Arabidopsis thaliana: one gene and its partner. The protein of the gene in region 2 interacts with the protein of the main gene of each other region in a pairwise test. Each region holds a gene or a part of one and is shown on either strand. Other genes may lie near its edges. The genes, in order: HON4 and NRP1.

Region 1 (5,663 bases), on a different chromosome or scaffold from region 2:
GAATTGAATCCTCCATGAATGTTTTCACAAGTCACACAATTGAATCTAAGTAGTTGGTTTAGGGTTTTCGTCGATTTGTTAAATTACCTTGCCTAAGGTGTTAGCAGACAAAGGAGCAATGACTAAAACATCAGCCCAACGTCTAAGCTCGATGTGAAGGACAGGATCACCGATCTTGTTCCAGCTAGACCATTCATCTTCATCAGTATACAGAGTCACTTCTTGTGGGAGAGAGAGTTTATCGAGGAAATGTAGAGATGATTTCGTAACGACGGCTCTGACTTCTGCCCATTCGGTGAAGCAATGGCAGAGATTGCCGAATTTGATAGCAGCGACGCTTCCACTTGCAGCGAGTAGTACACGAGGCTTCCTCGGTGTGGTATTCACTTCCATGTCTTGTCTGTCTCTTTTCCCATTCTCCATAGCTCTTTTACACCTTCAGAGATCTAGCAAAGTAGCCAATGGTTCGGCGAAGAACCCTAACCGAAAAATTGATCTGGTCGAAGAGAATATCAAAATGTTTTAGAGGGAAGAGAAAGAGAGAGGCCCGAGAGGACAATCATTTTAGTTGCTGGTCAAATGGGCCATTGACTCACTCTTTTTTAGGCCTCGGTCGTATGGGCTGTGAATATCGATATATTTCATTTTATATTTACTTCGTTTGGACTGCAATTTCGATTCTGAGTTCGACTGTTGTGTTAACTCTAACATGTTTTCGAGTCAAAGTTATATAGCTTTTTGAGCCAACGTGAGATGGAAATGAAGATATTATTAGTAAGAAATTAAGTAAGAGTCGACCTGCTAAAACCGTTGGGTGGAAAATAGACACGAAAACATCTCCACAATGTGCAAAGCGGAAGCAGAGAGCAGAAGACAGATTGAAAAAAACAAAGGCACAGACGCAATAAGAGATTATTAAAGATGGAAGACTAGAAACATCGCTAATTTACAGCCACGTCTTATGGTTTGGTTAAAGACACACCGACAACAACACCATTAACGAGTCTACTATTTCTTCTTCTGCAGACAACAAAACCTAGAAAAATTAAAATTCCTTATAGATTTTTATATAATTTAAGATGCGATTCCAACACCTAAAACAACTAAAAAAAAACACTCCTAACGCCAAACACCAAGGCTATTATGTCTAGGTTGTTTTCTAGATCATTATTATTCTTCAGAACAGAGCTTCTTGCATTGCCTCTGCTTCTGTCTGGGTCTGTGTTTCTCCTTCTCTTTCTTGTCCTTCTTCTTGTCCTCCTTGTGTCTCAGCAGCTTCAGTTTGTTGAGCTTCAGTCTGTGGTGCTGCAGTCTCCTCTGGCTGCACTTCTTCCATAACTTGTGGCTCAACGGTCTCCGTCACTGTTAGTGCTTCCAGATCTTTTATGGCTTGCACCACTGCTTGATTCTCACTTGTAACTCCATCCTTCAACACCTTCACAATTTCTTTCACTTTCTCTTGCTGAAATCATTTACATACAAAAACCAAACATAAGCAAGTAGAATCGAATACTTTAATCAAATAAAGGACAGCCAAACTGTTTATTGTCAACAAGTAGACTTACAAAAATATCAAACTTCTTCTTGAGTTCTCCAGAATCTTGTGTCCCAGTCGTGACTGATGTTCCAATCTAGGTTCATGAACCAAAAAATAAAATTGTTGGATAAAAGTATAACATATTCAAGAAAGACATTAATGGTTAAATTAAGAAGTCTTACTTTAGATCCAATTGAACACGTTACTAGTAAAATAGAAGATACAGAGAAGAAGACACTATGTGATGACTTAGAAACCATTAAGCCGGATTAACACACTAATTGATGATAAAATTATTCCTAGCTATAGCGATACATTACCGACTATTTTGGTCTTAATTATCCAAACGAAAATTAAAATAAAACAGAGAAACCAGATAAGGATAAGCCAAAAGTAAGGGACACGAAAATATAATAAAAACACTAGATACTAGTCAGATTTTGGATACGCGAAAACAGACAACAATGCTCAAAAGCGGAAAGTGACATTGAGTTTGAATTCCACAATGATTGCAACACAAGTATCAAACTTTATCAATCTAAATTGACGGCGGAGCAGTGAACAATCATGCACAGTAAACGTCAGATATTGCAAAATCGAGATCACGAATACAGAATTGGGGGATGTGAAAATTTACCTTTCTGGGTCTACCTACAGGACGTCCTCGTCCTCTCTTAGGCTTCATAATAAGCCTACTGATAACACCACCAATCTTAGGTGGTCGTCCACGTCCACGCTTCATCCCTGGCGCAACCGCTGCCACATTTTCACCACCTACTGGAGCAACACTAACAATACTGCTAGGGTCAACAACTCTCCTAGGCCTTCCTCTGCGTCTAGCACCATTAGCAACATAAGGATACACAGAGGCAGTAGAAGAAACGGATTTGGGCTTCCTCTGTCTCCCAGCAGCTCGACGACCCGGTGGTCTACCTCTACGTTTCATAATTCCAGCCATAACCGAAGCTTGAACGATTGGTGCAGTAGCAGGAGCAGCAGAACCGTTCTTCCTTGGACGACCAGGTCCTCTCTTCGCCGACTCTGTAACCGGAGTCGGAACCGGAACAGGTGATTGAACTTGCTGCTGTTCCCAGATTGGCTGTCCGTTAGCCTGGACTTGATTGGTCGGTGGAAGTTGCTGTAGTGGTTGTGGTTGAGATTCAGGTTTAGGCTTAGGAGGACGACCACGACCTCGTTTCAGAGGCTGAGAAGCAGAGCCAGAAGCCATGGGATCGTTGTTACTTGAATGGAGAATCTCAGATCTGGGAACATCGAGACCTTGAGCGGCGGCAGCAGCAGCAACAGCTACACTAGCAGGAGGAGTAGAAGAACCAGCAATTTTGTAAGATTTCTTAACCATAGAAAGAACACCACTGGTCTTCAAAGTCTTGAGATGGTGAGTCAACAAAGCAGCATGAGCAGAAGTTAAACCGGTGTAACATCTCTCGATGTATCTCGAAATTGCCATCTTGCTCGAACCATCCGGTTCGTTTAACGCCGCAATCGCAGCGCAAATCATCTACACACAGAAAAAAAAAATTAGTAACAAAAAAAAAAGTAACTGAATTTAGTTATAAAGGAAGAGGCTTTTAAGATTGAACTTACTTCGGAGTAAGGAGGGTGGGGCATTGAAACATGTGGAGATAACTGAAACATCTGCGGTTGCGGGATTTGCGTTTGCGTTTGCGGCTGCGGTTGGAAGACGACATGGTTATTGTACGGATTTGGTCCTAAAGGATGATGATTGGAGGTGGGAAAATGAGGAAAAGGGGTGAACTGAGGAGGATGATGAGGATCACCAAGAGATGGATCCATGGATGTGAGATTTTTGCAGAGCAAAGAGAAGAGAAGATACAGTAAAAAAAAAAAAAAGAACAAAAAAAAAAAAGACAGAGGTGGAAGGTGAGATTTAGATTTAGGGTTTTTTTTTCTTTTTTTTTGTTTTTTGCTCTGAGAGCTCTTTTGATTTTTTTGTTTTTGTGAAAATAAAATTTTTGTGAGAGAAATAAATAAAGTTAGGTTGGGGAGAGAGAGGCGGAGGAGTAGAGACGAAAGGATGAGAAGAAAGATTACTATTAAATCTAACCGTTGATTTGTTTTCTATCGACGGTTTTGACGAGGATCGATGACGTGTCATATCATTTTGTCTTTTATTTTAAGGATTTTGTGTTTCTTTACTTTGATTTTTTTCATTTTTGCCTCTTAGAATTTTGCTACATTTTCGCTCCAATGTAATAAAAAATCACCAAAATTTTAAAAATGGACCGCCAAAATTTTAAATTATTTTTCTGAAAAGAACTCCTCGCTTTCAGTGTAAAACAATTTTGTTGATTTTAGAATAACATCGAATGAAGTATATAGCAAACACTGTTACATTAAGTAACCCATGTAACAAACTCCATTAAAGAGTGTATGATAAGTAAGAGATGTATTGAGATGAGTATGGCAAAACAAATGCAATTACTAACTTCTATGTCCTCTGTTTAGGATTTGAAATCGATACATTTACATAAAATTTAGTTTCAAATTTATATTTTCTGTGAATTTTGTTAGAGTATATATCTATTTGCGACCCTTTAACTTAATCACAAAATGATACATCAAATATGTTTTTCATTAAGGAAAAATTACAAGACATTAAAATATTTTTAAACAGTAATGTATGATATTTACATTTGAATTAAATTTTAACTTTAGTTGCATTTTAACAAAATATTTGATATATATATATATATATATCTATATATATATATATAAATGTACGACGTAAAACAAAAATAACAAATAAATGTAAACCTCTTATTATAGATGATGAAAGATAACTTTATGAAAAAAATAAAATATGGAAAAATATATTTACCAAGTGCTAAATACATTTTTCTTTTGTCTTGTATCACAAATAAGCGTGATATATTTAAAAGAATAATTGAAATATTAAATGATGAAAGATAAGTTTTAAAATTTTCAAAATATGGAAAAACATGCAATTAGTAAGTATTGATTGCAAATTTTAATTTGTTTTGTACAAAGAAGCGTTATTTATTTAAACATTATAATAAAAATGATAAATAGTGAACGATGAATTTAAGAAAATTTAAAATATGAAAAACTAGAATTTATAATTGTTTAATGCAAAATTTATAACAAACAAGCATTTTTAACGGGTAATGTAAAGGATACAAAGTGAGCGATAATTTTAAAGATATTTAGTGGTTTTACATATAGTTAATGTTTTTTTTTTTTTTTTAGAAGAACTTTTTTTTTCATTTGACATTTTAATATTGTTTAATGAACTTTTGTGTATTATATGTGTGGATTCAAAAGGGTAGTTGGATAGATTTCACCATTTGAATTTTGAAGTAGCAAATCTCAAATAAAATCAATGGGACTAAGAACAATTGATAAATCTATGGGGGAACAAGTGTCACACCTATCTCCTTGGTAAAGCCAGCCCATACATCACGGTACCCAAAAAGAATCATCCAACAAGAGAATTGTTGGTACATATTACTGACATTACAATACGATATTATAAAGAGTACAGTACGTTTATGCTTATGCATTAAGCGCAAGTAAAACCCGATATATGCTCATCATTCAAACTCCAAGTATCACCTGAGTCGTGTCGTTTTCATACAACAATTTATGTATGCTCATTCTTTTAATACTAATATATCTGTGTTGTGATGTGTGCATGCGTGTGCTCGAATACTTTCAAGCAAGGGTCAAACAAAGTGCGGCTGGTAATAGACGATCAGAAGACACAATCACCAGACACCAAGTAAGCAGATGACAAAAGACGATCACCACACCAGAATTCCAACAAAACAAAAGATTATGATATGTTTTGTCGCCTCTGATATGTCACACTACACAGTACACACAACCTCTTATAAACAACACTTTTAACGGGCCGAATTATCAGCCTTCAATATAATGTTTACTTATGTGATGGACCTCAACATTACATGGGCCTATCTGTTGCATAATTAACAGTTTTAAGACCCTTTTATTTTTCTCTCGAATTTGAAATGATTTGTTTATGTTTTTTATTTAAATGTTTTTGCATATTTGGTTGGGTCCTCTCGAGTCACACACGACCGGAGACGTGCATTAGAAGAGTTAC
Region 2 (5,264 bases):
ACTGCCGTTTCTGCAATGCGTACTCAAAGAAGCTCTCCGGCTTCACCCTCCAACACCATTGATGCTTCCACACAAGGCCAGCGAATCAGTTCAGGTAGGTGGGTACAAAGTTCCTAAGGGAGCCACGGTTTATGTCAACGTGCAGGCGATTGCTCGAGATCCTGCAAACTGGAGTAACCCAGATGAGTTTAGACCAGAGAGGTTTCTTGTGGAGGAAACGGACGTTAAAGGTCAAGACTTTCGGGTTCTTCCGTTTGGGTCGGGAAGACGGGTGTGTCCAGCCGCTCAACTCAGCCTCAATATGATGACATTAGCACTAGGTAGTTTGTTGCATTGTTTCTCATGGACATCCTCTACACCTCGAGAACACATTGACATGACCGAGAAGCCTGGATTAGTTTGTTACATGAAGGCTCCATTGCAGGCTCTAGCTTCGTCCAGGCTGCCACAAGAGTTATACCTTTAACTTTTAACTGAGATAGATTATATTAATCAACATAAGATAAAGAGAGATTCTCAATTGCGAAAAACAGATGTAGTTATGGCAAGATTTAGGACATGGATGATGACATGGTTCGTACAAACAGAATGTAGCTATTGATAGTAAATAAACTAAATATTCCAAAAGAGAAAGCTTAGTCTCATCATTGCTAAAATTGAGAACCTCATAACACAAACTTTACACATCTGTTATAGAAGCAAGCCAGCAATGTGTTATCTTTGGGCTCCCATCATTCCTCACCATCTTCCTCCTCTTCATCGTCATCGTCTTCTTCTCCCTGAAGAGATTATGGTTTCAAAGATTTTCAAGGTTAAGAGATGGTGCACAGTAACAAAACATGTGACTCATAATAACAATGTCCAGACTGATACTCAATTAATCAATGTATTTTGAGGAGCAATGAGACAATTGTTTTACCTCTTCGTCACCATCATCATCTCCATCAAAATCCTCTTCATCAGCATCCTACATACATCAACAAAATCTTTAAGCAACTTATTACCTCTACAGAAAGAGGATTCAAGATTGAAAGTGAAATGATAAATAGTTTACATTGTTGAAGTAGGTGAGAGGGTTGGACCAGAGATCTTCCTTGATAATATCAGCAACCTGCTCCGAGAGAAGATTTCGGAGTTCAAATTGGGCAGATAATAAAAACGGTCTATAACGTATAACAAGTCAGAAAGTAGATGAGTATGTACCTCATCATGAATCTCATCCCCAGCATCTTCCTTATGTTGAGCATCAGTAAACCAAGTAAAGAAACTGAAGAGAAAGTTAAATGGAAAGAATTTAACTTTTTGTATCATATTCATCATATATTCATGACCACAAGAATTTCACTAAGAATATGATCACTTAATGGGGTCTAGAACAATACCTCTCCTCTGGCAATGCACGTTTATTTCCTTTCTTATCATCATGGTTCACTCCATTTGGCAAGCCCTACATTATTGAGAAACATCATTAAAAATAACGCCGAAGAGAGACAAATAAAGTAAGAAACTTATTATCTGTTTATATTTACCTTGCCCTCCTTCCATTTGATAGGAGTTGCAGTGATTTTTGTTGTTCCTTCTTCAAGGAAAGTAAATGTCTTGGTAAGCTTGGCATCCTCAAAGAACGGGTTTGAAGTGAAGTGCTGCGATTGATACCCCCAATTTAACAAGTTAAATAACAACAAAACCCAGTAATCTTCTCAGATCAATATGAGAAGACAATAACAACAGATTAGAAAAATGAGCTGGATAAAGAAACATACAAAAGTTATAGAGTATCCAGATTTCACATCTTTGGCATCCTCCACTTCCAGAGAGTTCAAGTACTTAAAAATCTGTAAAAACAGGGAAATCAAATGAATTGGTAAAAAGTAATGTAACTGTACAGAAAAAATGAATGCCAATCGGATAGTTATCGCCTTATCGGCATTATAATCTGGAAAACATGCCGAAAGATAACTCAAACCTTTTGGTCTTCTTCAGTCAAGAGGTCGCCTAAGGCAGGATGACTCAAAAACTGCAAAGAATGTGTAATGGTCATTGGTCAATAAGTAGTAGATGTTTAAAAACAGTAACTGAAAACAACCTATAAACACTTACAGCAGTCATCCAAAAGCCAGGAATCGATTGGATAACTTCATTGCGCTTGTCATAGACAGGTTTCCGTATCACGTTATATTTCTGCTCTACTTCCAAGACCTCGTCACTGGCCTTTTCGTTAATCTATAACCAACAAACCAGAGTTAGGAGAAAGAAGAAGAAAAAAACACTCATTAGAGTTCATGTCAATTCTAACTGTACTTATGAGTTAATGATATGCAATTGTTTGAGCTTTAACTTCTCAAACAGTACTCTTTCCACTAACTTCTCTATAGCTATTGGAGGAGTAATTACAGAGAGCAGTCACATGAATTAAATTATAAATAAGCAGAAATCACACAACATGTTCTCAAATTGCATTGTACGAATACACAACTATCACTACTGTAGCAACAATACAAAAAGACGATCCTTCATTCAAATCCAGCTACATATGAACATTAAAGTAAAATCTGTACCATAAAAATCAAAATTGGAATCCATTCAACTTTACCAGGATACAGAGCACATGACACCGGTTAAGAAAAAGGGGAAAAATCTGGAGAATCAGAGCAAATTAACGAAAAGTGAAAGAGGAGATTTTTTAACCTTCTCGAGGTCGTCTTGAATCTCCTGAAGCTTCTCAATTGAGAGAACAAGCTCTGCGTCGATTTGCTCCAAGTTTTCTTCTTCGCCTTTCTCTTCAATTTTCGACTTCTTGCTCTTGTCCGCGACCATTTTCAGTTCACTTCCTTTGAGGAAACCCTAATTCCAAAGAAAGAGAGGATTTTGGCTCCTCCTTTTGGTCTCTTCTCTTCTTGTGGTTCCGTCACAAGAGAATCAGCTAAAACCCTAGCTCCCGATGAGAGTTTATGCTTGTGAAGTGTGAGAGTGGGCAAAAGGGAACTTAGGGTTTTGAGGGGTTTATGTGGACCAATCAGGTTGCGCCAGCTGAAGCAAATAAGGGTATATTAGTCAATTTAAAAATCAATATTAGGGTACTTTAGAATTTTCTCTTCACTTGCTTTTTTAAGTTATCCTATTAAAATAGTTGATTTAATAAAAGCGGATTAAGTCATTTAATTTTTCCCTTTTTGTGTCGTATGATTTTACTTCAGGACCACTAAAACATTATTGCTCTAAAATATTATAACTTGACAAAATATATCCACTTTAAAATAAAACAATTTGAGAAGAAAAAAACAAAAAAAAAAAGGAAATGTTGACAGTGGGATTTGAACCCACGCCCTTTCGGACCAGAACCTTAATCTGGCGCCTTAGACCAACTCGGCCATATCAACTTTTGTGTTCTAGAAAGAAAACATAATTATTTATTCAAATTATTCCTACGCGCTTCTTCGCCGAGTGCGATGGGTTTACTACTCCCAGCGTTGTAGCCGTTGAAGCTCATCAGTGAACTTTACTTTCATCCATTGTAATTGATTTCTCCAGTTGTTTTCTGAGTCTCCTCATTGAGAAAGGATCTACCTTTTTCTCGATTTTATTCTCTCCGCTGAGAATTGTCTAGGGTTCTTCTGTCTTCTTTGCTATTTCTCTCGTATCTGGATTTTAGGGATTCAAAGTATTTTCATTAGGTTACGATTATTCTCCTTTATGGGTCCTCCTCTGCTTCCGAAACATGTAACTGCAGTTATAAAATGTCAGAAGGATCCTATGAAAGCTCTAGAAATGTTCAATTCGATGAGAAAAGAGGTTGGTTTCAAGCATACTTTATCTACTTACCGCAGTGTCATCGAAAAGCTTGGATATTATGGAAAATTCGAAGCCATGGAAGAGGTTTTAGTGGATATGCGGGAGAATGTTGGTAACCATATGCTTGAAGGGGTTTATGTTGGGGCAATGAAGAATTATGGTAGGAAAGGGAAAGTTCAAGAAGCTGTTAATGTGTTTGAAAGGATGGATTTTTATGATTGTGAGCCTACGGTTTTCTCTTATAATGCTATTATGAGTGTATTGGTTGATAGTGGTTACTTTGATCAAGCTCACAAGGTGTATATGAGGATGCGGGATAGAGGTATTACGCCTGATGTTTACTCGTTTACGATTAGGATGAAGTCGTTTTGTAAGACCAGTCGGCCTCACGCTGCTTTGAGGCTTCTTAATAATATGTCTTCTCAAGGCTGTGAGATGAATGTGGTTGCTTATTGTACTGTGGTTGGTGGGTTTTATGAGGAGAATTTTAAGGCTGAGGGATATGAGTTGTTTGGGAAGATGCTTGCATCGGGTGTTTCGCTTTGTCTTAGTACGTTCAACAAGCTTCTACGTGTTCTTTGCAAGAAAGGAGATGTTAAGGAGTGTGAAAAACTACTTGATAAGGTTATCAAAAGAGGTGTTTTACCGAATCTGTTTACTTATAATTTATTCATTCAAGGGCTTTGTCAGAGAGGTGAGCTTGATGGTGCGGTTCGTATGGTAGGTTGTCTCATAGAACAGGGACCCAAACCTGATGTCATCACGTATAACAATCTTATATATGGCTTATGTAAGAATTCCAAGTTTCAGGAGGCAGAGGTTTACTTGGGGAAAATGGTGAATGAAGGGCTTGAGCCTGATAGTTATACCTATAACACACTAATAGCTGGATATTGCAAAGGTGGGATGGTACAACTTGCAGAAAGGATTGTAGGTGATGCTGTTTTCAATGGATTTGTGCCTGATCAGTTCACATATCGCTCCTTAATTGACGGGTTGTGTCATGAAGGTGAAACAAACCGTGCTTTAGCTTTATTTAATGAGGCCTTAGGGAAAGGGATAAAGCCTAACGTTATTCTTTACAACACACTGATCAAGGGATTGTCTAACCAGGGTATGATTCTAGAGGCTGCTCAGTTGGCGAATGAAATGTCTGAAAAGGGTTTGATTCCTGAGGTACAGACTTTTAACATACTCGTAAATGGACTATGCAAGATGGGATGTGTTTCTGATGCTGATGGTCTTGTTAAAGTCATGATCTCCAAAGGGTACTTTCCTGACATATTTACTTTCAACATTTTGATTCATGGTTATTCTACACAGTTGAAAATGGAAAACGCACTTGAGATATTAGATGTTATGTTGGACAACGGTGTTGATCCTGACGTGTACACTTACAACTCTTTGTTAAATGGTCTCTGCAAAACTTCAAAGTTTGAAGATGTGATGGAAACATATAAAACTATGGTGGA

Evidence for each region.
Region 1: the proteins of NRP1 (region 2) and HON4 interact in a two-hybrid assay, tested with the Arabidopsis thaliana proteins (one study listed by BioGRID).

What each region holds. Positions count from the first base shown.
Region 1 is NC_003074.8:6,168,207-6,173,869, forward strand, and holds HON4 (winged-helix DNA-binding transcription factor family protein), read right to left. Parts: upstream 3,800-5,663; 5' UTR 3,353-3,799; coding exon 3,143-3,352; intron 3,057-3,142; coding exon 2,175-3,056; coding exon of another isoform or gene 2,103-2,174; exon of another isoform or gene 1,720-2,102; intron 1,632-1,719; coding exon 1,566-1,631; intron 1,463-1,565; coding exon 1,178-1,462; 3' UTR 757-1,177; downstream 1-756. Other genes in the region: HAL3A (HAL3-like protein A), read right to left, coding at 88-423.
Region 2 is NC_003070.9:28,017,084-28,022,347, forward strand, and holds NRP1 (NAP1-related protein 1), read right to left. Parts: upstream 2,967-5,264; 5' UTR 2,818-2,966; coding exon 2,689-2,817; intron 2,224-2,688; coding exon 2,101-2,223; intron 2,018-2,100; coding exon 1,967-2,017; intron 1,836-1,966; coding exon 1,764-1,835; intron 1,644-1,763; coding exon 1,530-1,643; intron 1,448-1,529; coding exon 1,383-1,447; intron 1,268-1,382; coding exon 1,204-1,267; intron 1,112-1,203; coding exon 1,083-1,111; coding exon of another isoform or gene 1,055-1,082; intron 968-1,054; coding exon 920-967; intron 780-919; coding exon 680-779; 3' UTR 501-679; downstream 1-500. Other genes in the region: CYP98A9 (cytochrome P450, family 98, subfamily A, polypeptide 9), read left to right, coding at 1-466; AT1G74580 (Pentatricopeptide repeat (PPR) superfamily protein), read left to right, coding at 3,694-5,264. UniProt on the Arabidopsis thaliana protein: Acts as a histone H2A/H2B chaperone in nucleosome assembly, playing a critical role for the correct expression of genes involved in root proliferation and patterning.